Struthio camelus: one gene and its partners. The protein of the gene in region 4 interacts with the protein of the main gene of each other region in a pairwise test. Links are inferred from orthologs where the notes say so. Each region holds a gene or a part of one and is shown on either strand. Other genes may lie near its edges. The genes, in order: NGB, TTC19, PRKAA2 and L3MBTL3.

What was found.
Region 1: the proteins of L3MBTL3 (region 4) and NGB interact in binary tests that used the Homo sapiens proteins (3 or more experiments, as listed by UniProt). The two-hybrid records come from large-scale screens. The link is inferred for Struthio camelus from reciprocal best matches to the Homo sapiens genes L3MBTL3 and NGB.
Region 2: the proteins of L3MBTL3 (region 4) and TTC19 interact in binary tests that used the Homo sapiens proteins (3 or more experiments, as listed by UniProt). The two-hybrid records come from large-scale screens. The link is inferred for Struthio camelus from reciprocal best matches to the Homo sapiens genes L3MBTL3 and TTC19.
Region 3: the proteins of L3MBTL3 (region 4) and PRKAA2 interact in binary tests that used the Homo sapiens proteins (3 or more experiments, as listed by UniProt). The two-hybrid records come from large-scale screens. The link is inferred for Struthio camelus from reciprocal best matches to the Homo sapiens genes L3MBTL3 and PRKAA2.

Annotation. Positions count from the first base shown.
Region 1 is NC_090946.1:59,044,232-59,052,185, reverse strand, and holds the start of NGB (neuroglobin), read left to right. Parts: upstream 1-4,941; 5' UTR 4,942-5,033; coding exon 5,034-5,137; intron 5,138-6,589; coding exon 6,590-6,701; intron 6,702-7,954. UniProt on the Homo sapiens protein: Monomeric globin with a bis-histidyl six-coordinate heme-iron atom through which it can bind dioxygen, carbon monoxide and nitric oxide.
Region 2 is NC_090957.1:17,543,676-17,551,378, forward strand, and holds the start of TTC19 (tetratricopeptide repeat protein 19, mitochondrial), read left to right. Parts: upstream 1-4,700; 5' UTR 4,701-4,715; coding exon 4,716-4,893; intron 4,894-4,964; coding exon 4,965-5,041; exon of another isoform or gene 5,042-5,065; coding exon of another isoform or gene 5,066-5,125; coding exon 5,126-5,236; intron 5,237-5,306; coding exon 5,307-5,345; intron 5,346-5,939; coding exon 5,940-5,996; intron 5,997-6,324; coding exon 6,325-6,386; intron 6,387-6,934; coding exon 6,935-7,029; intron 7,030-7,251; coding exon 7,252-7,406; intron 7,407-7,703. Other genes in the region: ZSWIM7 (zinc finger SWIM domain-containing protein 7), read right to left, coding at 2,322-2,343, 4,527-4,602. UniProt on the Homo sapiens protein: Required for the preservation of the structural and functional integrity of mitochondrial respiratory complex III by allowing the physiological turnover of the Rieske protein UQCRFS1.
Region 3 is NC_090949.1:33,363,831-33,371,277, forward strand, and holds the start of PRKAA2 (5'-AMP-activated protein kinase catalytic subunit alpha-2), read left to right. Parts: upstream 1-4,434; 5' UTR 4,435-4,457; coding exon 4,458-4,551; intron 4,552-5,680; exon of another isoform or gene 5,681-7,447. UniProt on the Homo sapiens protein: Catalytic subunit of AMP-activated protein kinase (AMPK), an energy sensor protein kinase that plays a key role in regulating cellular energy metabolism.
Region 4 is NC_090944.1:70,676,654-70,683,916, forward strand, and holds the start of L3MBTL3 (lethal(3)malignant brain tumor-like protein 3), read left to right. Parts: upstream 1-4,249; 5' UTR 4,250-4,360; coding exon 4,361-4,374; intron 4,375-5,983; coding exon 5,984-6,095; intron 6,096-7,263. UniProt on the Homo sapiens protein: Is a negative regulator of Notch target genes expression, required for RBPJ-mediated transcriptional repression. It recruits KDM1A to Notch-responsive elements and promotes KDM1A-mediated H3K4me demethylation.

The DNA of each region.
Region 1 (7,954 bases), on a different chromosome or scaffold from region 4:
GCTTCGCTACTGAGCTGTGCAGCATTGCATCCTGAGGGGGTAGCTTAGAAACTGGTGGGAATGTTGCCTGAGGTCTGTTCCCACCTGAGGATGGGGGCAGGGAGTACAGGGAGAAGAGGAGCTCTCATGGTCTGCAGTTTCTAACAAACGGAGACTGGAGGCAAGGGGGAGAAAGGGATGAGCCAAGCTCAGGAAGCTGGCCCCAAGGTGAGAAGGGAGCGTGATGTAGCTAGATCAGAGTGGCATTATTCATGAGGACTTGCAGAAGTAGAACTGGAAATGAACAAGAATCCACGGGGAGATTAGTTTTTGTTAGTATAGCAAGTGAGATGAAAACTGACAGTGTCACAGCAGCATGGGCAAAACAGTCCTCCCTAGGCCAGGCTGATGTGATGCCCACTGGGAGGGAATTATGTACGCCGACTGCCCTGAACCCTGTGTGCAGGGTTGGGGAATGGTGTTTGTGGGGTTATTCCCAATTCTATTATTCTGTGCTGTGAAATTGGAAAAGTTTATTTCCCAGTGGGTAAACTGAGGTGCTGAATAAGCAAAGCACACACTTGGCAAGGGGAGTTGAGTGTTGTTGAAAATGTAATTTGAAGGGGCTGTAGATTAGAATAATTAGAGCTTCTGCCAGGTAACATTATACATTTATTTTCTTCTAAATCTTTATTATCTTTCTTTCTTTCTTTGCTGGTCATTGAGCTTCACTGGCAATCTACCTTCCCTGTCTCCAAAAGGCCTAAAGATGATTTTGGAACAGTCTGTGCTGGTGACCTGGTTCCTCTTTGCTCCTGACAGCTCCAGGGAAAGTCTTGCAGAAATCCAAGAATACTTCAGAAAAGAACTGAGCTACCGGGCTAGATATGTGGAGCCAGAGGAGTTGGAGACCACTGAGGGAAACCAACAGACTATGGAAGCTTTCACAGTGCCCAACTCCTTGATGCATCCTGGATGCTTCTTCACATCTGAAGGCTTGCTAAACACTTGAACAAGAAGAGAGCTTTGCTTGTTTGCTTTTCCTTGTACTTCACATCCTCCCTGGACTACACCTCAGTGCCATAGCAGCAGGAAGAACTCCTCTGACAGAGACACAGCTGCAAGGGAGAAGCTGTTTTGCATGCAGGGAAGAGCACTGCATCTCCTGAGCCCTTGCTCTTTTAAGTCACATGAATGGTTTTCAGATGTTTCTTACCCAAGAGCTCTTTTTGTCTCCCACCTCAAATCCCTCCTTACAGCTCCCTCCTCCTTTACTTAGATGACCTGCTCTGTCACAGAAAAATAAAACTGCTGGTTTTTTTTTTGTTAAGTTGAGAAAAACAAGCAGAAATGACAGAAGGCAATGAAAGAATGGATTACCCATGCAGAGGGGCAAGGAAACTGCCCCTAAATGTCCCTGTACCCTGCCTGGAGGCCCAACCCCTGTTGCTGAGGGATAGGGAAAGAATTAATTCTCTCCAGCTCTCAGCCTCTGCTGAGCTTAACACCAGTGTGGGTGGTGAGTGCCAAGAGGCAGGCAGGGGTATCACCCCCGTTGCCCTTATATCAGTCCATGGAAGAAGTCGTCAGGTCACGCTCAGCAGTTTTGCCACAGCCATTAGCGGCTGGTCCATTCTGGCGTTTGTGTCTTGTCTGTGTGTGCGAGCAGGCAGCCACCATCTGCAGCATGAAGGAAAAGTGTGGGTGGGGTTGGCAAAACTTTGGACAAAAGCCATAATTTCCCTATGGCTTCATTGCTATTGTCTAAGATATCCTTTCCATCAGGAGCAGCAGCTAAACCTGCATTTGGTTGCTGGCCTGGGATAATGATACCTGGTACGATACCTGCATGGACCCAAAGGAAGGCATCCCAGGTCCTAGCTAAGCTTTAGGAAGAATCACTATACTGTCTCCCTGTTTCATCCATCTTCATCTGCTGCATCTCCAGGGTGTGTGTGCACTTTTTGTATCCATCTTGCTCATATTCAGGATCTGTTCATTTTTACTACAATAACCCACTTCTGTTGTGCTTCTCTTCCTCTCCTTTCATTCAGCTCTGAATATATCCAAAATGTTGCTAGGCAAATATTCAGCCTAGGTTGCTACTCTGATTGCATGTATATCCTTTGAATCTATTTATTGGCACCGTACATCTAGTTAGGGCTCTCCACTCTCCTTTATAGCGTTCTGTCAGCACAGTGCTGCCTTGCTGTTCTGCTCTCGTTTCTTATTAGTAGAGTCAGGTTGAAATGTTCAGCCAGGCTCTGGTAAATCAACATGGCTATGTGATTGTGACGACAAGCTGAAATGTCATTCTGAGAGGTTTGTACAGATGCAGATAGGATGACACTTCATGTTTTTTGCTTAAGTGCTTGATCAGCCATAAGATAGCTAAAGGTTAGTTTTTGCTTTGCCATTGCTGGGCTTGTGTTGGTCTCCCTGCTTAGATTAACCTGGTATTTCCCACTTCTCTGCTAGCTGCTCTTTCAGACTCCCTCCAGCTTCAGCAGGTATCACTGCACTGATTTACCTTTGGTTCCTGTTGTGAATGTCTTCTTTGCAACCATACAGCCTGGAGACTGATTTTAGTGTGAGCTTGTTGTGGATCAGGAGATGGTGGCCAACAGCAGGCAGCACTGAATGTTGTCAACTTGCATGTTTCAAACCCTAGCCAAGCCTCCAAAATGATACTGCCTTGCAGTCCATGACTTCTTTAACGTTGAATACTTGTTATTTATCCTCTGTTTTCCAAGAATGTACATGTGTAGAGATCATATTTTTTCAGACTCGTCTTAGTTATTGTGAGAGCTAAAATGCTGTATTTTTAACAGCGATCAGTGATTCTGACCATCTTGCCTTACCTGGAAAAGTGTTTTGGCTTCCTGTTCTCAGCTGAAAATGCCAGGCCTGATCTCAGCAGGATGCTTAGCATTGAGCTCAGGCTCTGCGGGAGACTTGAGCCTCACTGGTTACCACCTGTGGGGAGGACCATGGGTGCTATTTTTCCCAGTGGGGGCTGAGTAGAGGTTTGGAGGAAAGAGGGAGAGTTTGTGAATAAGCAGCCTGCTGCCCAAGTACTGCTCTGGGGTCCTGCTTGCTTGCAGAGGGAGTGACTCAGAGCTGCAATATGGAGTGGGAATACCAGATTAGGAAGAACGGATGAGAAAATTGCTGGCAATGGGGCACATTGACTTTCTTTTGTTTTCAATAGATGCACTGGTCTGGTTTTTGCAATGTTCAGCCCATTCGCCACATACCTTCATCCTTCAGTACAGGCAGTTCTGCTGGTTGCCCTACATCTGATCGTGCTGGAGCCAAAAGAAAGCCATAGGTGTAGCAAGGAGCTGGTGTGAGACCAGAACCTGGATCCATCTGGGCTGGGTGTTGTGTGTCTTGTGCTGCACACAAAGGACGGTGTCCCGTGCCCACATACAGCAGGTCTGGAGCAGAGTTGTTCTCCTGTAGTGATGCTCGGAGTAGCAGCAAAGGGACGGAGAAGCTCAGAAAAAAGCCACAGTCATTTACATCCATGTTACTTTCCTTCTCCCACTGTCTTATCTGCAAGTTTGACTGAGCAGCTCTGATGCAATGCACTATCTCATCTATCACACCTGATGCAGTCATCACTGATCAACAGTGAAAATGTTTCCTGAACACACCTGCCATGATCTGAAGGATGATGATATTGAGCATGGGAATTTACAGGAGACAATAGCGATCTCAAAGGTCCAGTCTCCTGCTATCACTACAAGCAGACTGATTAGACTGATGGAGAACTGGCCCTTTTGGAGAAAGGCCCATGGGAGACAAGACAAGGCTGGGGCTGATAATATAGCACTGTGGCCTTGAACTTGCCTACTGTCAGGGATGAACTTAAGCGCTCCAAAGCGAAGACCCTCATTGCTGCCTACTCTGAATTTGGTTCCCGGTTTTCCATCTTCGCTCCTAATTACAAGAAGTGAGTCTTGTGTATAGTACCAAAATTTGCAGTAAGATCAGCACAATTGTTATTTCAGAAACATTTGTGCTTCTGTGCTGCTCGCATGCTTCTGAAAACCTCAGCTTGCATGACTGCTTCTGGTAGTTTCTGTTGTGCTGCTTGAGACCTCGGTTGCTCCCTCTCTTAAGTTTCCTCCACACTGTCGAAATCCCTGGACGAGACTAAAAGCAATATTTCCCTTCATCTGGACAGTAAAGACACGTTGGCACCCTGAACATGTTTGACACACATGAAATGTCTTCTGGGCTCTTACTAATAGCTTTGTCTGGTTCAGCTGGCTTAAATCCCCTTAAATTATATATAGATGTTGCAATGTCTAGACTACACCTGCCCATGGAGATAGCAGGTGGCAGCAGGGAGCAAGAAGATGCTGTAGCTCTAGCCTGTCACTGAAGACCTCTAAAGCAAAGTTACCCTTGGAGACAGCTATGCTGAAGAGTTAGTGGACATGCTGGGTCCCTGCCTCCTCGCTAGCATTGCTTTGCTGTGCTTTTTACTTTGTAAAATTAGGCTGATCAGAAAATGTCAACCATAAATAAGCTAAATTTTCTACTCTGCCTTGAGGCTGAAAGTCCTGGGGTTGGCGTTTGGGGATTTATTATTATTTTAACATCCTCGCTGTGTGGGAAATACAGGAGCTCCGTGAGGCGGTTTAAAAGCCCTGCGTGGAGGGGGGGGGGGGGAGGAGGAGGAGGGCGCCGTCCCCTTGAGCGCCCGGGGGCAGCCAGCCTCGCCGCTGCGGCGCCGCCCCCGCGGGGCAGGGGAGGCGGTGCCGCGGAGCTGGCTCCGCCGGGCGGCACGAGGCAGCCGCCCGCGGGGCCCCGCTCCGCAGCCCGGCGCGCTCGGCGCTGCGCGGGCCGGGGCGGACCCGGCTGCGCGGCGCGCAGGTGAGAGCGGCGCCCGCCGGGGATGTGACGGGGCGGCGGCGGCGGCGGGGGGGGCCCCGGCGGAGCGAGGGGGCGTGCGGCTCCCGGCGCCGGGGCTGGTGCAGGGACCTCGGGCAGGAGCGGGAAGGTCTACCCGGCTGCGCGCCCCGCTCCGCCTGCCCCCTGCCATGGAGAGCGGAGCGCTGTCTCGCACGCAACAAGCTCTGATCCGAGAGAGCTGGCAGCGAGTGAGGGGCGACCCTGTGCAGCACGGCACGGTCCTGTTCAGCAGGTGAGCGACGGGCGGCCGGAGCAACAGGCGGCCCGGGGCAGCACGGGGGCCGGCGCAGGCGTCCCAGCCCCGGGCTGATCTCCCGCACCGGCCCGGCGGGTGGCAGGGGGGCGGACGGGCTCTGCTTCTTGGAAACATCTCCCTTTGCTTGGTAATGGCTCCCTACTGGCTCTGTTACGCGGTCCGCTGTCCCTCTGGTTGGCGTTTGCAGTCAGGAGGGGGAAGCGCAGTGATGAAGCCCCTCTAACGTTTAGCTTCAGCTGCTGTGGGCGTGGGGAAGGTCCTCTGCTCTGCGGCGCTTCTCGGCCCCTTGCCCTCCAGCCCCGTGCACTTCAGAACTTTGTTATGGGGAAATGGAGAAGATGGAGAGCGAAGGAAGGAGCCAGCAGGCAGGTTTTGTGCTTTTCTGTGCATTGATCCCCCTCGTTGTCACCGGGGAAGGTATTTCTGTTTGAAGAGCTGCATGTCTGCTCAACTCTGTGGGCTTTATCAGAGCGACTTCTTAATTGTCTGTGACATGGCAGTCTCCACATCCAGGCAGAGACCTGGCCACCGGGGAGAGAGTCAGTCCTAGAGCAGAGGAAGTGGTGTGCCAGGGGCAACATCTGAAACCCAACTCCTTCTCTCCCCTAAGCAGATTAATGTCTCAATTATGGGAAGAGAAAATGAAAAATCCATGAAAAGTCATTTAAAAAGCACAGTCTAAGAGCAGCTCCTGGAAAGGGGCATTGCAGACACGAGGCAAACCTTGCACAGCAAAACTATGACCAATGAGAGCAATGTTTGAAAGTTTTGGCAGAGGAGCGAGGGACGTGGTAGTTTAATGTGCAGAAAATGAGGGAGAAAAGAGACAGATTATCTTGTTTGAATTTCCCATGGCCTCCAAGGATGACACCAGCCCATTCGATCTGCCTGGGTAGCTCCTACTGAGACCCATATGTGCACAGCATATGCTGGCAGAGCAGATCAAGAGGAAATAAACTGAGAGCTGGTAATGCTGTGGGAGAGTGGGATGTTAGCTGGGGTTGCACATCCTGCCTTGCTGAAATTGGAAATCTTGCAGGCCTTCCCCAGATTTGACAGCCTTGGGACTCAAGGGGATCATGAAGTGTGAATAGGAAGAGTCAAGGTGACAAACAGGATTTTGAGGAGCAGGGCCAGGCTGGGAAGAACTCCAGTGGTCTAGGACTGATCCTCAGGTGCCATAAATGCATCAGAGAACACCATGCCCAAAATTGAGACTTTTTTGACTATTGATAACCTGGATTGCCCCAAGCTAAGACTCTTCAGAACTTCTGTGTCCTTCCCAGGTGGAGAAGGATCAGCTAGTGAAAAGGGAGGCAGAGGAGGGCTGTGGGCATGTTGGTGACAGGGTTGTGCCCTGGGTGAGGGGGATTCTGAAAAGAAAGTTGAGGAAGTGAGAAGATGGGGATTTCTCTCTCACTGTTGCAGGTTGTTTGATCTGGACCCTGACCTGTTGCCCCTCTTCCAGTACAACTGCAAGCAGTTTGCCAGCCCTCAGGAGTGCCTCTCTGCCCCTGAGTTCCTGGATCACATTAGGAAGGTGAGAGGGGGCCATGGCATGGCTGGAGCACAGACCCCCCATGAAGGAGGAAGCTCTTCAGGCAATGATTCTGGGCTATTGGATATCTGACTCTGGGGAACACATGGGAAGTCTTGTCCTGCAACGGCAACTGCAGGAAATTTCTTGCAGTAGCAGGAGGTGTTAGTGCCAGGACAAAGTGCCTAAAAACAGTGGGGAGGGAATGAGGATGTGGGTTGTGCTGGATAAGAGCACCACGCTGACCCCTCCATGCCCTCTTGTGGACACTGGAAGCTACTTTCTTCTTCTACCACGTGTTCATGTGTGAGCTCACTCCTGCAAAGAGGAGGACTGAAGTCCTCTGTTTGGCCACACGCTGAGCAGGAGGTTACACAGAGTTGGGCAGTGGGCAAGGCTCCTGTGGAGCCACTGCTTCTGGAGGGGCTCTTGGTGCAGCTGCAGAGTCAGAGGGCCCACAGGACCTCTTGTCTGGCTGCTGAGGCAGTACTGTGATATGCATTTGCCTCCCCCTGAAACAAGGAGAGAGGAGCAATGCTGATCTTGCAGGAGCTCGTATACAGAAAGAATTATACCCAGTGCAGCAGAACCCCTTTGCTGAGTCCTGAAATGTAGCCACATTGGGGCAGAGCACAGCCTTGGCATGGAAATGCCTCCATACGCTTCATCTTTAAGCCAGTTCAGTGCCCTGCCTGTCTTTATTCCTTGTAAGAGGCTGTTTCAGTACTGTTCTCCTCTGATAGCTACAAGCTCTTTACTATTTTCCAGCCTCTGTTTATCAGCCAAGTTAGGTCCATTTTTACTTCTGCCATTGTTGCCTTGAGCTGAATTGCTTTTTGCTCTTGTTGGAGATAATTTCCCTGTTGAAATTATAGAGCACAACTCTATTGCCCCTTGGCTTTGTCAGGCTAACCATGCCACCGGCTTTAATCTCTTCTCTTAAACGGATCCTCTCTTTTCCCTTCATCCCTCATTAACTCTTCTCCACCCTGTTCCCATTTGGCTCGTCATGCTCCTGGGAAACCACAGTGGTACCCGCTTTTCCGGACAAGGTCTCTTGGATGTACTACCCAACCCATCTTCTCAAAATGCCTCAGTTGATCTTAGAATTGCAATTGCCTTACTCGCAATTGCAGTGTCTTGGCAACTTCTAGTTGCCCTATGATTGACCAGTGTTCACAGCATCCTCTCTCCATCTCTCAGGGGGAATCTGTCCTGGACTGCCCAGCAGTTGTCCTGGGATCATAAAAGCTGTA
Region 2 (7,703 bases), on a different chromosome or scaffold from region 4:
AGCTACGGAAAGGAGATTCTGGGGTATGCACAGTGCTAGGGCTCCAACAGGTGTTACTATCAACAGGCAGCGTCACACATGTAGCCCAGTGATCGCTGTTGCAGCAAACACTGTGAAACTGTCACATGAGGGCAATGTGCATAAACAGGGATTTCAGCAGGGGCTGCACCAGGAAAACAAGAGAACATGGAGACGGAGTTGCTAACGGTAAGAGAGAAAAGGGATTGTGCTCTGGGACACCTTAGCTGTACCAACAGACTGTCCTGGATGAGTTGCCCCACATCAGATTATTGATCCATTTGGTCTGGAATCCCACCTCTAGTCATGGCCAACACGTCATTCCTCAGAGCAAGGAGAGAGAAATGGTGACAGACAACTCCTTGGGCAGTAGGAAATGCAGCAGTAAGGCTACTTTCTCGTCCCAGGGAAAACTGGTTTATACCCCGGGGCACAAATGTGTCATTTTAGAGTGATCATGTCTTCTGGATCACCGTCACAACTGAGGTATAAATTAACCTTCTCTACCCTCCAAAGTGCAGTAATCAGAAGCTAATGGCCATCGGGGAAACACTGCTGATGCTCCACTGCATGTGGAGCAACTGGATAGCCATAGTTTTACATCTCTGATCCTGCTACCAGAATAGTTCAAGAAGGATTGTATCTGCTGATGATGCCATGCAAGGGTATATGCTAAATTATATGTCAAATATGGAGACCTCAACCTTTACCCTATTGTCCAGACAGTTCTTAGGCTTAAAAGTTATTCTATATCTGTACATCCTGCCGCTTCGCATGTCTTTCAAAGAGCTCAGGGGTAACAGAGATAATCTTTACTCTTTTATCCACTGAGAAAAATCTGTGTAGTCTAGATTAGTTACAAAGGTAAACAACCAGGAAATCAGCAGTGATGAAAGGATATTTCAAAACACGAACAAGAGAAAGCAGAGGAACATTTCCAACTCCAGTCAAGACAGACAGAGCTAAGACAGAGCCCTGGTGTCGCAGCAGTACGGTTGACCTGTGTGTCTGAGTCAATCTCATTGATAACAAGCCAAGCAGACAGACTTATTCCAGGAAGACCAAAACTTAAGTGGCAAAAACTCAAGGCGATAGGGATTCATCTGATGGACTGAGAGGTGGGTGGGGGAACACTCAGTGTAAGACATTCCTTAATGATTAGGTTTGGGACTACAAGAGGGCTGAGTCTAATGAGTTTCAGTAACTCTTTCCAATTTGGGGAATTCTTTTTTCATGTATATAGTTTGACCAGTCTAACAGGAAATAAGTAAGGGGAATGCCCAAAGGAAATTCAAGGGCTGGAGAGATTTGGAAGAGATTCAGAAATGAAATGAGAACACTTCTGAGCCCCTGGTCACAGAGAATTGATGGCAATCCGACTGCCAAGTGTTACCACCCAACCATTACTAAACTTAACAAGGGAATTTCTCTCCTACTCTTTTATTTTATGACAAGAAGGAAACAAAAAGTTATGAGACTTGTCAAATACAATCTCACCATTTAAGGGTCGCAATGGTCCCAGAAGAGGGAGCCAGCATGCATACCTTTCACAGGTAGAGAGTGCTATGTTGTGTTACTTTAGATATTGAGGCCCGAAAGGTTCCTGGTGACCTCCTCTCTTGCCTAAATTACAGGCAGGCAGGGACACAAAGCTGAAGACGAAAGTGAAAAGCCTTTATCACAGTGACAGTACCTTTTCTCTGCCACTGCCACTGATCAGTGAGGGCTGCAGAAGTTACAACACTCAGATCTCTTGGGAGGAGGCAATTCTTGGGTATGACTGACGTATTCCCAAACTTCAGTCAATGCAAGGGCAATGAAGCTGACCTGAAATTTCCTCAAAACAGAAGAAAACTCTCAGGGTAATCTTCAAGGTGACACAATATGAAGGCAGTGGAGATGCAGTGTTCCAGTGGCATGAGTCATTTGAAACACAGCCTGCTTTCACAGAAAACTTGTTCCAGGTCTGAGAGTGGACTCAGAGCTCAGCTGAAACATTCTGGGTTTCTGCATGTCTAATCCATCCCAAATTAGAGCAAATCATCACTGGAGATTCAGTGATACAGAGATAATTTCATGAATTATCATGAATCTTTGGAAAAACTCTTGAGATAAGTCGTTTTGGACAGCCACTCCCCCTACCAGCAAAAGCATTTAGCAACAACGCATGAGAAACATGTACTAGTCAAACACAGCAAAAAAACAAACAAACAAAAAAACTCAGCAGTACTATGATGAGAGCAGATTATCAACTGTCCTTTAGCAGAACACTTGGGACAAGAACTAAACCAAAAGATACTTACCCCAGGAGCAAGTCATCAGGAACTGTAACAAAAACAAAACGAAGTGTGATTTTGCTGAACTCCCCCAGTGTGAGAGACTTAGCCATCAGCCTCACAGGGAGGCTAGAGTCTTCCTAATCTGCCCCCAGAGGCCACACAAGATTGCACCCTGCTGTGCTCTAAGCCATCCTTGCTAGCCACCAAAAGTGCAACAAGGTGCAGCAAAATCATTCGCTAGGGCAGAAAATTTCAGTCATGACAGTGTCAGGGAAAGGAGACCTGGCAGTGGATGGGAGTTTGCTTCCCCCACCTTTCACAGCGGGAGCTCCATCTCTGAGCACACCCACCAGAACAGCTCAGGTTCCACAAAACCCAGAGATATGCAAGAACAACAAACAGTCAGGCAATGTTGTTGTTTTTCCTCTTAATTCCTTGCTGCGTGAATTGCACCAAAACTGAGAAGAGTCAAGTGCCAAGCTATCCCCATGAGACCGCCCACCCCTCAGTTCCAGTCCTGGACCTCCCACCCCTGACCTAGGCCTGGATCCTCTTTTCACAACAGCACTGCCTTTCCCCAGGCTGAGTCCGACACTTGCCACATGGCTCCAGCCCCCTCCTTGTACCTAATCTCCGCTCTAACACGTACCCGCGCTCAGCCCAAAGCGATGTTCTATGCAGTTAATACAGCAACTGAGGTTTCCTCAATCCTTTTAAAATAAATCATAAATTCAATTTCTTCTAAGACTCAGAAAACCTTCCAAGTATAAGCTATGCACTTTCAATGCGACTGCTTATACAAAAGGCATTTATGAAGTATGGCAATTAAATATATATTACATATACATTCAGAGCCATGGGGGTTAATTTTAAAAAGAAATGCAGAAGCCCAAATACACTACTTTTATAATATCTTGCTTTTAAAAGCATGCAAATAGACATGCATCCTGAACAACTTGCTCTGCAGCTTTAAGAAGCCAGTTAAAAATATATATATTGGTTTCCCTGAAACACTCTTGGCAGGAGTTGAGAACTCTGCGGCATCAAAACTAACAATGTTGTTCTTTTCCCAACATAGTCTTCCAGGGCATTGCTAGTTTATAGCTTTTAATATACAGAAACATAATGTCTCAATTTAGCAGAACTTCTTGTTAAGATGGAAAATTACATTAAGAAAAATAGTCTGTTTGTTTTAACTAATAAGTTAGGCTACAATTAGCTAATCTGATCTTTTCGTTACCGCTAATGGGACACAGCGTACTATTTGTATTCTGCTGGAAGACTGGGACTTTTGACTTTAAAATCCTTCCTTCTAACAATTCAAAATATTCTCTGTGACTTATGCTGTCGGTTTGACTCTTCCAACTTTCATCTAATTTAATTCTCCAGCCGAGCAGCTTCATTCCCTGGTTATAGCGCAGCGTACTGTCCTAGCGCTTTAGAGAGAAGTGTAGCTTAAAAGTAACATTGATCTTTTTTTCCAGTTTACAACAGGATTTACAGAGTTCTTTTAAAAAGTGACGCGTAGATTTTCGATCTATCCTAACCTGCCACTATGCATGGCGCAAGTACACCAAAACACTGTCAAGGTGGTCACTCGGGCAGTTTAGATGTTACGCCGGCATCCCTTCCTCGCACAAACGTAGTACTCAACAGGTTTCGCTGTACGTTTGGTTGTTTTTAGTGCCGGCAAAAGTATTTAGACTATTTTATTCCCTTATGAAGAACCATTATGCACTACTTACCAAGTGAACATGAACAATAATATTCTTTCAGCGCGAGTTACAGAACTATGTTAATAACCCCGAGTGCAATGAAAGAAGCTGTTCTTAACTAGCTGCTAGAATTGGCCGAGATTTGCTTGTTGGCTTAGGCTCTCCTCGTTCAGCACCAGGGAAGGTGCTCGTAGCCAGAGACGGCGAGCACACCCCCCCCTGCCGGTCAGCTCGGAGAACGTTACCCTTTTTTAATCCGGGTTTTCCTTCCAGTTCTAGTTTTGAAACTCCTGAGCAGGCAAAGAGCTCAGCGGGGAGAGGCCAAAGCCATGGGTTAAAAAAAAAAGCCTTCAGTCATCGCCCCGAACACGCCCAAGCTCTCGCCGAGCAGGGCTGCCCTAGGCCTCCTTGTCAAGGCCGCGCCCGCCTTGCTCTAGCCCCGGGCGGCGCCGCCTCGCCTCGCCTCGCCTCGCCTCCCCGCAGCGCGGCGGCGGCTCCGCTTCCCTTTACACACCGTGCGAGGCCTCCTCGACAGCCCTCCGGATCTCCCTCAGCAGCTCCTCCGCCACGGCCGGCAAGGTGCCGCCCATCGCCTGCAACCGCCCCCGGCAGCCGTTGGGGGAACCGTTAGGCCACGGCCTCCCTTGCGCCCGCGCCCCGCGTCACGCGCCCGCCGAGCTCTTAAAGGGCCCGCGCGGGCAGGATGCTGGCGGCGGCGGCGGTGTCGCGCGCCCTGTGCCGCCTGGTCGCCCGCCGCCCCCGCCCCGCGGCGCTCCCGCCGGCCCGGCTCGCCTGGCGCGGCGCGGCCCGCCGGGGCGGCGGGGGATGGCGGCAGAGGGGGGCGGCGCGGCCGTGCGGCAGGGCGCTGGGTTTCCTCGGAGGTGAGGCGGGTGTGGGGCGGGAGGAGCGCGGCGCGGCGCGGCGCGGCAGTGCTCACCGCGCCCCCGCGCAGCCCTCTCGCTGTTCCCCAGGGCCGCCGAGGAGGAGGAGGAGGAGGACGCCATTATCGTGCTGCTGAAGCGGGCCAAGGTGAGGCGCCGCGGCGGCCGCGTCATGGCGGCGGGCTGGGCCGGAGCGCCGCACCCGCCGCCGCGTTTTGTCCTCTCGCCGCAGCTCAGCGTGGCGAAGGGGGAGCTGGCGGAGGCCGAGCGGGTGCTGCACCAGGCGCTGCGGCTCTCGCACCAGGCCGGGAACGGGAAGGCGGTCGCCTACACCTACAGCATGGTAAGGCGGCGCGGGGCCCCGCGGGCGGGAAGCAGCTTTGGGGCGCTTCAGCGCTGTCCTTCTCTTCCAGATGGCGAACGTGGCCCTCATGCAGGGACAGCTGGACAACGTGAGTAACTCCTCTTGCTTTCTCTCCTCCACCGTCAGAGTTTTCGGGGGCTGACACCCTCGTCCAGTTCTTGCCCGAGACCTCAGAGGTTTGCCTTCGCCCTGCATGCCATGCCTGCCTCATATGGAGCCTTGTGAGGCAGAAATCTCGCAGCCTGAAGCAAAACACGCTGCTTTGGGGCAGGAATCCCAAGAAAAACGGTGACCAGTTGCCAGTTTTTGCGGTTGGGTTGTGAGCCCCAGCGTGGTAAGCAAGGGAAGGAGTGCGTCTTGCTGTCAGATGCCACAGTCGAGCACTTAGAGAACTGGCACAAGGACAGCCTAGCAAACACTGAAAAGACACAGATGTGGTAAACTCGCAGCTGAGGTAGGAGTCCTAAACTAGAAATAGAAAGGAGCCTGCTGGCTGGCCCTAGCACTGGGCTCTGGCTAATATTTCAGTTCTGATTGCAAGCTGGGCCTTGATAAACAAGGCAAACGCCACAAACCATGTCAAACAGGTTTCCCACAGCAGTCTGCCTCTGTAAAGGGTAGAGAGCCTTTCTTCTAAGTGCCACCATGCCTCAATGTTCTCTTTAAACTTCTCTTATTTCAGGCAGAAAAGCTCTACAAAGCAACTATGAGCTATATGCTTGCTGGGGACACCAAGGAGGTATGTTGCTCTGATAGAGGCTTGCAGCTGGAAGTGTTAACAGTGTGGTGCATCGTTCTGTGGTCTGTTTCTTGTTTAGGAAAGACGATGCTTACACGCACTTCCACAAGTTGTGGTTCTTGCCTTGTGCCATATAATACCTCCTACTGGAAAGTGGCAGTATGGTAATGAGCTTGCCTACTTTTCAGAAACTTGATTTAATGGATGGCAGCTCTGAAGACAACAGAATGGGCATTTCAAAATCTAAACTTGGTCCCTAACAAACTAATGGATCTATTGTGCAGATGCAAGAAGAATAACAGTTACGTTGTGTCTTCTCCCTTTGTAGGATGACAATGCAATCCTTGAGATGTCCCTCAAGTTGGCCAGTATCTATGCTGCTCAGAAAGAGTGAGTTCCCTACTAAAGGCATCTTTAATCTCAGCTTTGCAGTGGTAGTCAAGCAGAAGCTCCTCCTTTGAGGAAGAGGGTGCCCAAGGAAGCTTAGATTTGGCAAGGTATCATGAACATGATGCCACAGGCATGATCTTTTTCTGCTCTTGTCACATAGCACAGTGACTGTTGTTACTACCAGCCCAGCTCAAGGCAGCAGTAGCTATAGAGGACAGAGCTCTCTAGCCTTAAATTCACACCTCACAAGACGTGCATTCCGGAGTGAAGCTTGTGAATGCAGTTGGTGTGTGGCCTGTGCTGGAAAGATAACCTCGTTTTTACAAGGGAGAGAGCGCTGCTGGTATGGGTGGTCTTAGCAGGGTTCTCTCCACCTCTTAGATCCCTTTGCCCTTGGTCAGGAGTAGGTCCAGGCCACGATCAAGGAGGGAGCATTGAAGGAAAAGGGTTGTCTTATAGGCCATGTAGGATGAGGAAACAAAGGTCCTAACATCTCTCTGTTCAGGGATGGAGGGAGCCTTGCTTTGCTAAGTCATTGCACTTTGCAGGCACAAATTAGCCCTGGCTGGCTATCAGTTCTGCATCCTGACCTTAGAGGAGAAGATTGCCAAACAAAAGGACTTGCCTGAGGATGTCTTATCAGGTGGGCCTTCCTTGAGCGCTTGAGGGTGGTGCTGTCTTGCTTGCCAAAAACTTACCGTCTTTCCTCTGTTTTTGTGTCCTTGCTGTTGCTTTCCATGTTGCCTAAGCACCATCCTCCTGTCAATCCACAGTCTTCACACTGCATGAATTTCCTGTGCACGTAGGATGTAGACTTGTGCTTGATCTTGTAGAAGTGTTCACTTTCTTTTCTTCTTATTCACAGCTGAAGAAAAAGCCAACACCCGTCTCTTGCTGGGGATGAGCCTAGACGGCTATGCTCGCTATCTCCTAAGCATTAACCAGCTCCCAGTGGCCCAAAAAATGTACGAGAAGGCTCTGCAGATATCAAGTGATGTTCAGGGAGAGACTCATCCACAGGTGAAGTGTAGAGCAGTAGCGGCAGGCACTCGTAGGAAAAGAAAGGCTAACTGATCTCATAGGAAACTAAGGTAGCATTAAAAGCCACTTTGATGGCACTGAACATATATGCAGTACTAAATTAGGTTGTCTTCCTGCTGGGAAGAAAGAGCATGTAGGATGCTGATCTAAAAGTCACTTTCTTTCTTGCCTGAAGCTTCTTTGGAAAGACTACTTTTACTAGTGTGACAGTGGTATAAGTGTAGTGCTCCCATTACCCCAGGGTTTAATGAATCCTGCTCTGAAGCCTCCTGTTCT
Region 3 (7,447 bases), on a different chromosome or scaffold from region 4:
AGGTGCGGTCTAATTGCTCCCCAGTGCAGGAGAGTTTCCCTCTCCTGCTGCGTTGGGACTTGCCCAGAAGCTCAGCTCCGGCAGGACCGAGAAATCACACCCCTACTCAGCATCACGAAACGAGGGCAGAGAGCAAGCCCTGCACAGGAGGCATTTCACATGCGTGAGGCTTTGTAGCTCTGTCCCAAACACACTGAGACATACATATATCCCGCTGCTTCAGCAAGGGATTTGTCCAAGAGTGGAGGGAAAAAAATAATTATAAAATAAATAAATAAAAGCCCAAGGGATTGCAAAGAAATTGCAGCTCAGATACACTCTTTAACTGGGATGCTCCTAGGAGGCATGGTTACATTAGCATTTAATTAACAGCACCCAGCTTGCATTTGATTTCTATTTTAAACAAGCTGCAACACCACCAGGCACGGACGGATCATTCACCGAGATGAAGGCAAGCAAGGGGAAGAGATTTCTATCCTGCTTCGCAGTCAAATGACATTTCATTTGATCTACACCAAAAATAAAAATGCTGCTTCGCCAGACACTGGAGTCTGCATCTCCTAGCAACACTTCTCCCACCTCACACGTTTTACTCGAGACCCTTCATCTCGTGCCTGTTGCCGTGCTGCTAGCAACACACCTCCCTTCCCCACTGGGGCACGAGATATATCTACATATGTATCTATACAGTCGCACACACAAATACAACCTTAAACACACAAAATATAGCCTTTAAATTAAAAAAAAATTGATTGCACAATCTTAATTCAACATTTCTATTAAACAACTTCTGTGTGCATAATGGATTACTGAGTAACAAGGTAAAGAAGTAGCTGGTGCGTACCAAGGAAGCTCCTCGCTGCTGGGCTTTGACCAGGTTGTATCAGCCTGGTTACTCAGGCTATACTCTAGTATAGAGTGTGTTTTCCAGCAGTGTAAAAAATGCTAAGGAAGGGTTAAGGTATATATATGAGCGTGTTTCGCAGACAAATGACACTGCAGATGTGGGGACTGCGCTGTATTAACTGCACACAGCGTACGGCTGCATTAACTGGTAGGTGGGGAATGGGTTGCAGAAATGCTCATGATGCACCATGAGGCACGTCCGTGGGGTGATTTAGTCACCAGCTTTTAGGCAATGAGCAAGGGGTAACATAGCACATTTACATACAGCAGCTCCGTTCAAATATAAAAGGAGGTCAAGAAATACCATGTGAGACCTCACCTATTTGTTGCGGTGCTCCACTAGGGCAAAGCCAGGGCTTGCCAAGGCTGGAAGCAAACAGATCGGACAAGCCGCACGGACTCCTGTGCGCAAAGACAGGAAAGAGCTGCTGGAGGCTTTTGCAAGGTGCAGACTTGCACAGACCCATACTTACCCAGGTGCCTAAAGACGACAGCATTTTCATAGGCTTTGCAGGAGACAGTAAGCTTTAGACAAGAAAACACTAATGTTATTTTTAAGTGCTGTTTCTCTTATGCTTTATTGTAGGTCTATCACTCTGATTAAACAGATGTGGTTTCATTACAGTACATATGGTTTTGTATTATATCAGCTTTCTTGTTTCTACTCTGCCACTGTTATTTGTATTATTGGATCTGTTGAATTAAATCATCTTCTGATTATTTACCATGGTATAGCTGCATAGGCTCGTCATTATTTTATCAGGTATCTTTTGTTTATACAGCTTCCCATTCTGACTTCCCAAATATCTCCTCGCTGTTTCACAGTGTGGATTGCCTTCGCGCCTGCCTTCTGCTATTTCTTGTGACTGAATGAGAAAGTTTAATATTGAAGAAATCGGAATTAGCACTATTAAAACAATACTACTCTCCAAATAGGTTTAAAAGACTAGTGTTCAAACATGCTGCGTGGTTAGGATGAGCATGCATGTTTTTCAACACGATCTGTTTGTGCGGCCCAGGCAAAGTTCATATGCCCTGTTTAGAAGATTATGGAGAATGTCCAGATTTGCTTAATCAACTTTCTGGACTTTCATCTGAAAATGTCAAGCAGACGATTGCTTGGAGGAGAAACAGGTTTGAGCTCCTACACAAACAGTTAAACCCCTCACCCAGCACAGCTCCCTGGTGCTGGTGCTTCAGGTTGAGCCCTGCAACCTTACACCCTCTGAGCAGGGGAACGGCTCCAATTTGCTCCGGCCCGGAGATCCAGAGCCCCTGCTCGGCCTTTGCCGATGGCCTGCCTGCCCCAGCACCAGGGATGTGACACCAGCTGTGGCCTCATGCCAGCCCCTTATGCCGAAAGCTCCTGTGCCGGCTGCTTGCCAAGCTCTGGTGCTGCGGAGCATGGCGAGAGTTTTCTTTTCTGGGTTGCAGTTGTCTTGATGAGTGAAAAGGAGGAAACGTTCATTAGAGAGGAGAGTTGGGATCACTAAGCGGGTGTTCGCTTCACATATTTTTTTTCCAGACTACATTTCTAACAAGGTAGAAATTCTAGAGAGAAAAGGTAGCCTGCCTAGAGCAGCTGTGTTATTATTTAATGTATAGCATTACCCTATCTGACTGCAGGCTGTCGCAGGGCTGAACGATAAAGAATGGATAACGCTGGTATTAGGACGAGCTGTTAGCTCACGGGAACATTTGTTACGTCTGCCCCGAGCAACTCGCAGCATGTGTCTACAGTAAGGTTTAAGTGCAAGGTTGGAACGAGGCTCCCGGTCGGCCTCACTTACTGCACGTGGGTCCACAATACGGCGTGGGTTTGGAGTTCCCCAGCCAGAGTCCTCCCCCAGAAGCCTGAGTGAGAAACACGGGGCAGTCCCGAAGGGGCATGCGGGCGCCAAGCCCGGCTACAGCCACTTGGAGTAGAGCCCCCGACCAGCCCCTCACACCAACCACTTCCCTTGGAGACCTGCCCCTGCCGGAGTGCCTGGGAAGAGGGAGGTGAGGGGAAGGAGAAAACCAGAATGGGCTTCCCAGTCAAGATGAGGAGAAGAAGGGCTCCAGGAAGGACCTGGGGGTGGTCAGAAGGTAATTTCAGAGTGGGGAAGAATGCAAAGATGCAACTAATGAGAAACAGCTGACATGAACAGAACATAACGGCGGAGGAGAAGAAAAGCAAAAAGGGAGACAGAGAAGGTGGTGACCCAAAGGCCAGCTTTGGTGTCCGTGTAGGGGAGCTGCGAAGAGGGAAGCGCTGTGAGCAGGTATAGATGGTTTCAGCTGGCCGCACCAGCTATCAATGTATCGATGTGTCCTTCCCCTTGAACCTGTTTTGCTCCTTTATGTTAATATAGTTTTGACCAACAAGAAAGCTCCTGTGTCTGCTTTGCCAAGCGAGTACCACTTATTGACCACCACCACGCAATGCAACGCCTGACAGCTGCCCGGGGTGGTAGTGCTACCACCAACCCAAACGCAGCCGGTCCCAGCCACGCTCGTGTGAACACACTCACGTGTGCTCAAGCTCCGCTGCTTGCAGACAGGTGAAAGGCAGCATGGAGACATCCACAGGTCCATCGTCCTGCCTCAATGCGGCAGGGTCCCGAGACCTGGCACCACCACTGCTCTGCACTCAGCACCACGCTGCCATCCAACTGCTCCAACGCTGAATTTTGCCAGCCTGCCCAGTCCTGCCACCACGTGTCCAGTGTCCCTCATCCCATCACCATCCCCATTATTGCGCTGTGACCAGCCCTGTCCACCCTCCCACCTCATCTCCCGCCAGAACTGGGGCTGGGCCCCACAGGGCAGGAGCTGCACCATGCCCCCACCCCACGACATCCCTCCTAGGTGGGCAGGCTCTCCAGCCCTAAGGCCCCATCCCGAACCCTGGGCAGGTGCACCCCAAGGAGCATGTCACCCTCAGGGGTGTGTCACTCCCAGGAGGGTGTCACCCCAGGCAGATGCACCCCAAGGAGCATGTCACCCTCAGGGGTGTGTCACTCCCAGGAGGGTGTCACCCCAGGCAGATACACCCCAAGGAGCATGTCACCCTCAGGGGTGTGTCACTCCCAGGAGGGTGCCACCCCAGGCAGATACACCCCAAGCTCGCTACCATCCCCAGCTGGGTGTGCCTTTAGGAGGGATCGTCCCAAGCAGGGTGCACCAGAAGGAGGACACAGCCCTAGGAGAGCATCACCCTGGCTGTCACTCCCAGGAGGGTGTCACCCTGGGCAGGTGCACCCCAAGCTGGCCGCCACCCAGAGCCAGGTGTGCCCTAAGGAGGGACCATCCCACGGAGAGCGCACGGTACGGAGGGCATCCCCCCCACCCCTCCGGGAGGAGAGCATCACCCCCAAGGCAGGTGTCACTCCCGGAAGGGTGTCACCCCCGGTAGATGTCACCCCCCACGGCAGGTGCCCCCCGAGGAGGCCGCCGCCGCCCCCCACCGTGGCCTCGCGGCGCCCCGCTGCGCCCGCCCCGCCGCCGCCGCCGCGCCGCACCGCGCCCGGCCGGCCCTGTGCATTGTGGTCCGGCCGCGGGGGGCGAACATGGCCGAGAAGCAGAAGCACGACGGGCGGGTGAAGATCGGCCACTACGTGCTGGGCGACACCCTGGGGGTCGGCACCTTCGGCAAAGTCAAGAGCTGAGTACCGCGGCCGCGGTGGGCAGGGCGGGCGGCGCGGCGCGGGGAGGGGGGGGGAGCGCTGGCTCCGCGCCCCCTCCGCGGCTCCCCCCCCCCCGCCCTCTTTCCCCGCTCCCCTCCCCGGGGGCCGCTCCGCGCACGCACCCGCGGGCCCGGCTCCTCCGCCGCCGCCTGCCGGCGCGGTGCGCGGCCCCGCTCCGCGCCTCGGCGCGGCCTGCGCGCGCGGCTCTCCGGGGCGGCGGGCGCAGCGCGGAGCGCGCTCGGCGGCCGCGGCCCGGCCCGGCCCGGCCCGTCCCGCGGGGCGCGCAGCATCCCGCGGGGCACGGAGCATCCCGCGGGGCGCGCAGCCCCTCGGCCGCGGGGGCTCGTGGCACGCGCCGAGCGCAGGACGCTTCTGCCGGGGCAGACGGGGTGCGGGGCTCGCGGGCGGCACCCGCGCTCTCCCTCGAGCGGCCGGACGGTCCCTGCGAGCTGCTGCCCTCCTCGTCCCCCCGAGCGCCTGCCTCACACCCCTGCAAACTTTCCTTCTTCGCGGCAGGGTGATGGACGCAAAGGATGAGCGGCAGCGCGCGCCTCGGGCAGGAGCCCGCGCGTCCCCATCCCTCTGGGGCCGCTCTGCTGGTTTTGGGAAAGGGGGGACAAGCGCTTCGCAGCCGGGCGGGTGGCAGGAACCGGGAGCAGAAGGGGTTTCTTCTGCTGTCGCGGTACCTCTCGCCCTGGGAAGCCAACAGCCTTGCTGGGAGCGCGGGAAGCCACTCTCACGGGGCAGGGGGAGACAAGGCCTGAGGCAGGAGCGGTGGAGAACTTGGGTCAGGCTTCATTCACACACAGGGTTTCCCGCGTGGTTCACGCCAGCAAGGAGACAACTCTCATTTTCACGTAAAGCACCAGCTTTACTTTACCTGACTGGAAGATTTGCAAAGATTTGTATTTCTTTTTCTATTTAATTCTGTTGCATGCAACTGTTACCTTTGAACCAAGTTAAAAAAATCAAAGATACTGTACAAAACTTGCATCTAAGCAAAACAAAGAGCTGTGACTGATGATTTAGGTACGGCTGGCAGAGCAGCTACCACCCTCCGCTGTGCACCCTGCCCTGCTGCTGGAGTTACCGGCGGCATCCTGTGGCTGGTCAAACGGGTGATGTGCACACGCTCAGGGACTGCGGCATTAAAATAAACCAAAACTGACAGCAGGGGAGAGGAGCCACCTCCACCACTGGAGCTAAATCCACCCGTGACCATTAATCAGACCCCTAAAAATATATTACTCTGTTTCATCTAAACCCACAAATCCACTGCCTAAAGAATTATCAGAATAAATACTTCTAACAGTGAGGACCATGTAAATCACTCATGTGTACGAGCAGAGCTCCAAAAGTGCTCCAAAGGCAATTTTTTCCCCCTACAGAACAAGTTAAGCCTGCCAACAGTAGCCTTTTCTCTTAGCTACCTTTCTCAACTAGCTAGCATGAACACCACGCACACGCTGTATATAGCCCGATTTTTGTAAAACCTGACAGTTTCCAAAGAGACATTTAAAATAAAGGAGATTTCCTAACTCAAAATCAGTTATGGTTAAGTGGTACCCTATACACATATATATTCTTTTCCTCAGCATGTTGCCTGTAACATCAGTCTGCGTTTGACAGACGAAATTTGGACTTGAGACTGGAAACTTAGATGAAGAAACTAGATCTGCTGTTTATATGGCATTATAGCATCTTAATCAAAACAGCATTAGAATACCCTGAATTCATCCTGTTTAGCAGGAAACGTGAAACAAAACAAAGAGATTCTGCCTGTTGGATTTTTTAACTATGGAGGGAGATGCCATCAGTTACTTTTTTTTTTTTTTTGCTGCTGTTTTTTCTTCAAACTCTGGCTCGCACTAGACTTTGTGAGAAGCAGGGTTTCCTGCCTCACCCTCCAAAGTTAAGAAATCATAAATTAGATTACAGTCATTAAGGAAAAAGAAAATGGCATTAGAAGCAGGGAGGAAGGGGGTTGTGAAATTGCTGTACTAACCACAGCTTGAATTTGTGGCTGTAGCTGAGTAGTCACTTGAAGCCATCAGAAACCAGAGCTGCTACAGAAAAAGTCATTGCGACCCTCTTGCAGGGGGAGACCACGCAAGTGCTGGCGCTGGCACATGCAAGGCGAGGAGAGCAAAGCACCTGGTAGATGAGAGCAGGATTTTGGAGATTAACTTGCAGGAAATAAAATTCAGGTGGCTGTAAGGGAATTCTCTTGGCTTTTACATTGAGTGAAGCATGGAAGGAAGAGGGTGGTACCTCACTCGTTAGCATGGTGAGATTAAGAACGGATGAGATAAATTGCTCCTGTGTTTTCCTTAGGCATATCCCACCCCATTGCTCTCCCTGCGACCACAGAGGTTGCACGATGGAGTTCATGGTGGTTGCTGCTTTGAGAGTTTCAATCAAAATACAGCTGAGTAATGCAAATATTTTTTCATGTGGTATCACGCATGAAGTCCTGGGTGGCCACTTGGTGGTTTCTGTCCCCACGCTTGCTGGTCACCAAGGTGATCAATTTTGTGGTCCCTCAAGGGCCTATATTTCTTTGGTGATATGTGTGCGTTGGTTATTATTTTGGTACCTTTGGGCTTGAGCAGGGTCAGATCCCCTTTTCCAAGGCACTATATAATTGCTACTGACGGACAACCAGGGATAATAAATTTAAAGAGACCAAACAGATGAAGGGAAGGATGATATAAGGTTTAAGCAAATGGCAGTGGGACAGAATTAATACAGCTTTGCTAAATATATGCTTTCCCTTGATTTCATGTTTAACTTAGGGCTACGATAAGGGCTGGAATAGGCAGCTGATTGATAGGAAAAAAGTTCTCGCCCTGCGCCCTCAAACTTGTATATTC
Region 4 (7,263 bases):
TGTGACTTTCTGTGCCTGGTTCAAAGCATTAAGAGAAACTAAGAAATGGGATATCAGGGTTGTTTACTCAGGTCTTACTGTCTGATTAACTTAAATCTGAATTCAGAACTGCACAGGTGCTAACAGAATACGCAAGTCATTAAAGTGGACTGCAGAGGAAGTATTTTTTCTAAGCGAGGTACAAGTTCTTTGTGACAAGACAGAAGTTGTCAGTGATAAATTTCATTAGATGAGTCGGATAGCTTTGGAATTGGATAATTATTGTTATTAGAGTTTTCTGTGGATATTTGAAAATGACGTAGTAGATGAAGGCTGTGGGTAACTTTGTAAATGTTACCCAGTTCCTAGCAGTGGTCCAGCAATACCAGTGTTAGCTTACCGGCAGAGACCAGATTCAGGTGAAAGCATCATAAGGCTTCTCAAGCACTAGTGCAGAATTACTGTTATCAAAGAACAGATTCCGTGTATGAGGAAAAAAACTTTAAGCTGATCTACTGGAAAGCAGGAACAGACGTATGCAGTGCCCCTGGAGAATCTAGCAGAGAAACGAGTAGCAACAGCTAAAATAAGAAGAAATAATATTAAAGGCATATCATCAGTAGGAAGTCTGGTTCGTTTACTGCTACACGTGTTAAGAATGGTGAAGAATTTTAAATTTAGGTCCTTTGTGACTACAATGCCAACCTATATATCTTATCTTTAAAATAACTATTTTGTAATAAACTTTGTGAGTAACAGGCAAAGTAGTGAAATTGACGTTGCTCAAACAGCTCTTGAGTGCACAGAATAGAAAAATGGCAAATCTGGTAAAATATTTTTTAAACTACAGTATGAATAATGAAATTTGAAAGGAAATGTGTGATCTGCAGATACTTCTTACGATAAAAATATATTATTAAATAGGTATAAAACAATGTGCATATTAAAATGTGGTGGATGGCCTCAAAGCATGTTACCAGTTTCTGCACTGTGGTTGTCTTCTTCAAGTAAAGAATCAGCTGCAAAAAGATTAAATGGAAGAGAGAGGCAAGTGTGCAGTATACTCAGCTCAAACCAGATGATTGTGGGAAGGAAAGCTGGACTCACCATGATAGCTTTACAGTGAATAGCAAGTAAGTCTTTTTCCTTGTACCGCCGTTCTGCACAACAGTTGGCTTAAGTTTTGCTTTGCCTTCAGTGTCATGATGAACCTAGCTTAATACAAAGTCTGTCTAAAACAGAAAAGGGAGCTTAGGTTGCGAAGGATAATTCTCCTTTGTGTGGCTTGGGGGTATAATGATTCAGCCCTGATATTTTTCACTTTATTCTGTGATAAAGGGAATAAAAATGAAAATGAGCATCCATCCGTCTACTGTCTAGAAGTTAGAGCACTCTATTTGCTGCTCTGATACACTGAATTGCCCCCATCTGATCCACTTCATTTTCCCTATGTGTTATAAATGTCCCACCTATCTGTAGATATCTGCAGATACTACACTAAGCAGTCTCCTTCTTGGACCTGACCAAAACAGCTATGAGCAACGTTAGGACAAAAAGCTGGGCTGGGGCCTACTCTTGTTCCTTTGTTTCTGAACATCTCTCAGCACTGGCATCTCCCAGCTCCATGGGTGTCTTTGAGGAACAGGGAACATCGCTAGGATGTCTGAGGACATCACCTCCCATATTTGATGCTCTCATTTCACACCTTGCACCGTTTGTTTAGACCACTTCTGGCTCTGTTTGTCCTATTTTTCTCTTTTCTAGCAAGAGTTGTTAGTTGGGGAAGGGAGCAGGCACAGGCTTGTTCTCTCCTGGAACGAATCTACTGGGCACTCCTGTCACGGTGGTTTCAGGAATCCTAAAAAATAAAATAAAAGTACACACGAATGCAAAAAGGAGTGCACATGCTTATTCACAGATGGATTCTGCTGATCCAGTAGTACTGTCTAAGGGCTTTACTTTTGAAATCTCCTCTCTTTGCTGTTGAGTGACCCCGTATTGAATTGGGCACGTTCTGGTGAGAAATTGTATGTACTACTACCTTGCACACGTCATAGATGGCATCTTAGATTTTCAAAACTTAGGTAGGTGTCAGGTAATTTTTTAAAGCCCTGACTGAAAGAAAAAATCCTTCTATTATTACTTTTTGACATACTTAGTACATAACCCTGTAATTATTTCAAAAAATACTTGTAGGTTTAGTTGGCATATTCTCTTCTATTTCTTAGCTTTAAGTCTTTAAATAGAGAATCTTCCACCAGATTAAATTATCTAATTTTTAATGCTGTTATTCTCGTTAAGTATCAGTTCTGTGAAGTATTCACTTATTGTTGAGCCAGTTGGTAAAAATGAATGGTTTTCTAAAGGATGCGTCTAATCTTCTTTCATAAGCTTGTTTATTTTAAGACATTTATTAAATATGTCTAAAACAAGGTTAATGTTGAAACATGAAAACGCAGCACACAGCTTTAAAACACTCCTCTATATATGTTACAGCTTATGGCTGGGAAGACTGAGATACAGTTATGTCCCTAATAGTGGATTTTGGATGAGGCTTTTGGAATATGAATGTTCCACGTTCTTATTTTGTGTCCTTACCTTCACATCAGATGGCATTCAGTGATAGGCATAGGTACAGTATTGTAGTAGTACTCCCCATATTAATTCAGTATTTTTACTACGTTCCTAGAGTTGTGTATGATAGCAAGAGGCGTTATTATAAAAGGAGTTCAGTTATACTAGTTCAGAGAACCACACCAGAGCTTTAAAGATGAAAGTGGAAATGAGTAGATAAGGCATTCCGTAGTTTTCTTTGTTCTGTGATTTAGATGTAGATACTGTAATGCTTTCATCCTTTTTTAATTCCTCATTGCTATAGTGATTTAATTGGTCTGCTTCTTCCTCCTCATTGTCCTTAGCAGTGGGATATAGACCTATCAACCTTGATCTTTCATCTGTTCAAACTCAGCAAAGCTGGAAACTGGTACTTTGTTAAATGTGGCAGCTTTGGGTAAATTCACTTCAATCTGTATTGCCCCATTACCTTTTCATCCCTACACAGAACAGTTTGGAAGGCTGCAAAGAGGACCAGTAGGTGAAAGTACAGATTGTGCCTTTAATATTGAGTTTAATTTTAGAAAAAAAACAAGAGTACCTTGTCAAACAACAGAATACACCATTGCTACTCATTATTACCCGATGAAAGCTTTCTTAGGTGCAATTAAGTTAAAATTTCTATGGTTTTCTTGAGAGAAATGTGCACGGTACGGTTCTATTATTAGTATTTTATTTTGACTTTCACAGTTTACATCCTGCGTAAGTAGTCTAGGCTGTAAGTTTCCCCCATCCCCCATCATTTTTTGGCAAGTGATTCTGTTACAAAATGTTTATATGATGAGAGAAGCTCTATCAGAAACTCCAGAATGTGATATAGCGGCTGTCTGCTGCTTCTCGCTCTGTGGGACAGCGACCACTGCAAGAAAGCGTTTCCCCACAGTCTTCAAAGTCTCTTCCCATTTTTTGGTCATTCTTTCTGCAGAGCAGAAGCCATTAGAACGTTTTCTGTAATAAATACACCACAGCATAGTTGAGTGCAGTGTTCTTTAAATGGGATGGTAATTTAAGATTACTTAGAAACTTTAGTTAATACAGAGTGAAGCTTTGTGTTTGCTTAGCCAGACTACTCATGAGGAACACATTACACCAGTGTGCTTAAACAGCATCTTTTATGTCCTTAAAATTTCATGGATTTCTGGGTAAATCCAATTTTTCAGCTAGTCCATAGCAGTTGAGGTAGGTCTTGTGTTTCTGAGAGGATGCCTACATCTCTGCCATGATGTTGCAGTTTAGTTCGGTGTAAGCCTGCTTAGGTTGGTATATTATAGTGCTGAAGACTGGATTCTTAGGACGGTCTAGAGCTCAAGTGTGCTACTTTCTTAAGTCAAATAGAGATTGTCCAGGTTGAATTTCAGGAGGTGCTATAAGCTGGAGTGATGCATTTTGCTTGGGAGGGATTTTAGACGGTGAGTTGTATGGGTTTGAGAGTTTTTCAATTTACCCTAAATTTATTTAGATTTATTGATATATTAAAAGTGAATTTTTGTACATTGGTGGTAGGGTTTTCAATATGTTCACACAGAGAAAAACTAAAATTAGAGATAGAAAAGAACTAAAATTAGAGATAGAAAAGACTCATTCAGTTTTGTTCTTCTTCAAATTTGTTTTGTGACGTCTATAAAGTTTTGTAAAAAAAAAAAAAAACTCCTGTAGGCACAGGTAGCTATTTTCTCCATCTCTGAACCCGACCTGTCATACAAAATGAAGAGGAATGCAGAAGCCTTCACCGTCAGCAGTGGTTACTGATTGAGGTCCTGCTTCTGTCATGTTGTTGACAAGGTATAGGGGCTGTATTGTAACAAAAGTACTAGTGGATTAAGGTGTTGCTCAGGGTGGTAAAAACTTTAGAATTCTGCTATAAATGAAGAAGAAATCATGCAGAAATATAAAGGAGTTCACACTGCAAACACAAAATGAGAGTAATGTCTATCTATAATGTTCAATTGATGGCTATAATTTTTCTACTGCAAAAATAGAAAGTTGAATATTTTTCACACAACAGTTAATAATTAAGTGTTTTCTCCTCAAACTTTAAGTCAGAAGCCTCTGGTAGATCTGAGTTTACTTCTGCTGGGGTTGCATCTTTTTCTATCATCTGCGAGTAATACAGTGAACGCATTTCACTTAATCTTTTTTGTGGAAATTCCAGATATTGAGAGAATATTAACAAATATTTGCAGAGAGTAGGTTTTGTGGGTAGAATTTTTAGAGATAAAAAATTAGATTTTAGAAACTGGGGTCAAACAGCTGGGGAAACTGCCTGCCTGTTTGAATTTCAAATACTGATACTTGCAGCCAAAGTTTGCAAGCGGTCTGCAGGCTGAGTATGAGGCTTGGAAAGTATTTGTTGAAAAAGTTCAAAAAGTGTAAATTTCAAAAGAAATAAGCTTTTGGTGAAATAAGCTTTTCAACTGTTAGGTGTAGCACAGCAGTCCTTAACAAGGAAAATAATTGAGTCAAACTTCATGTTGAATAAATACTAAATTAGGTGCCAGCCCACAAATTTAAAGATCTCTGGGTTTGTAAAAAGTAGAAAGGAAGAACTTAGCAATAGTCACAAATGGCTGCTAAAAACATTTACAGTTCAGCACAACTGATGTCGTATTTGTGATAGTGACAGGAGTTGTATAATTGTATTGCTTGTGCAAATGATTGGAGATAAATTCTTACAACAGAGAAGGAGGTCCAAGTCTACTATTTCTAATGGTAAACAAATATTTTCTGCTCTGCTTTCACTGCAGTGAAACAGAAGGATACAGTAAAATAAAGTCTTCCAAAACAGCTGTTTCTCTGGTGTGTATATGCTTGTCTATATGTAAATACATTTTAGAAATAAATAACGAATATTTGGTGAGCCTATATGGTGACAGACAAGGAGTATTTGTATGTTCTGAGTCAGACAATGAAAGTGAAGGACTTTCAAATTCAATTTGAAATTTTAATTTGGACTGGAATGAAGTATGTTACCAGATATTAAGGGAAACCAGTTATTTTAATCAGTTCTTACGATGTTTATTATAGGCATGTGTTTATGCCTTTCATTCCCTAGAATATGTTTTTCTTACATATTTCTAGGATGTGTTTGCCCAACGTCAATCTTTTTGCAGCTTGAAATTATTTATTTCTCTTCAGTTCAGCTCATTAATAAGTAGTGTATAAAGTAGATACTATTTTCTACGTTTTTCAAAGACTTGCTGTTGTTTTATTACATTAGTTTTTATTATCAGCATAGTTCTGTACATTGTAAGTGTGTTGAGGGATTTGATACTAGTCTATGCATTTCAAAGTGCATTTGAAGAAATGTCCAGTGATTTGAGCATTAAACTACTTTAATTTACAGGTAAAGCCTTTATATATATATATATATTTTTTTTTTTTTTCTTTTTAGTACATGCATCATGAATGAATCTGCCTCTAGTGGGAATGGACAAGAGTTTGATGTATTTAGTGCTATGGACTGGAAAGATGGGATAGGTACTTTGCCAGGAAGTGATCTAAAGGTAAGATACGTAACTTCTTAATAAGTGAAATAACAACTTTATATGCCAAAAGAATGTATTACAAGTTGGTGTGTAGGTATCTGCTTTTATGAATAAAACATGCAGCTCTGAGTTAAGAAACTGTAGCCTGTTAGCTTTTAGCTCTGGAGTTTCTTGATTCAGTTTCTGGTGCTGGCAAAGACAACAGTCATTCCCGTAGGAAGGCATAAACGAGCACTGCCTCACTATTAGGACAGAAGTAATCAAGTGCACAAAATCCAAGACGTCTCAGAAGTTAGTGTGTAAAATCAGTCCTCTTAAAGTATAATACTAACTAAAAATTTTTTACAGTCACTGACACTTAAGTCTCATGTTCATAGTACTTTTTTTTTTCTAAGAATAGTTTATTTTTCTGTACCTTTGTCATGTGGGTGTCTTAAAGCACCCACAGATATTAAAGTAATACATATATTGATGTTTTAAAATAAACTGTTTATTTATCTGATACTTTTTTACAGTGTCCTCAGAAGGTATTCAGCTGTTTTAAGTAAAAACGCAGCTTCGATATTGGAGACTTTCTTGCACTTATTTCTCGTTGGTTAAAGTCAATATTTTCGTATAATTCTATTTATATTAACACTGATAGACTCTTTTCATAGTTTAATTTTTAAATAAAATCTCACAAATTCTTTTAAAAAGAATTGTAGTTCTTAAGGAACTTTTATATACCTTAGTGCCTAATACAATTTATGTTGTTGAAGTGAAGAATCAAGAAATGTTTAAAATACAGGACAGATACATTGCAAGTGTCTTTTTTAGAGTCACAGAATCATAGAATAAAATCACAGAATAATTTTTTTTGGAAAGGACAGCAGGAGACCATCCAGTCTGGCCCTCACTTAGAACAGGGCCAATTTAGATCAAGTTGCTCAGAGCCAGGTCCTGTAAAGGTTTGGTTATCTCCAGCAATAGAGATTGCACAAACTCTCTGGGCAGCCTGTTCCAGAGTTTGACCAATCTCATAGTGAAATTCTTCTTTCTGTTGTTACTTAATTGGAATTTCCTCTTTTGCAACTTGAGTTGGTTGCCTCTTGTCCTTTTACATTGCACCTCCAAGAAGAACTGGCTCCATCCTCTTTATAACCTACCACTAGAGTAGTTAAAGGCAGCAGTAAGATCTCTCCTTATG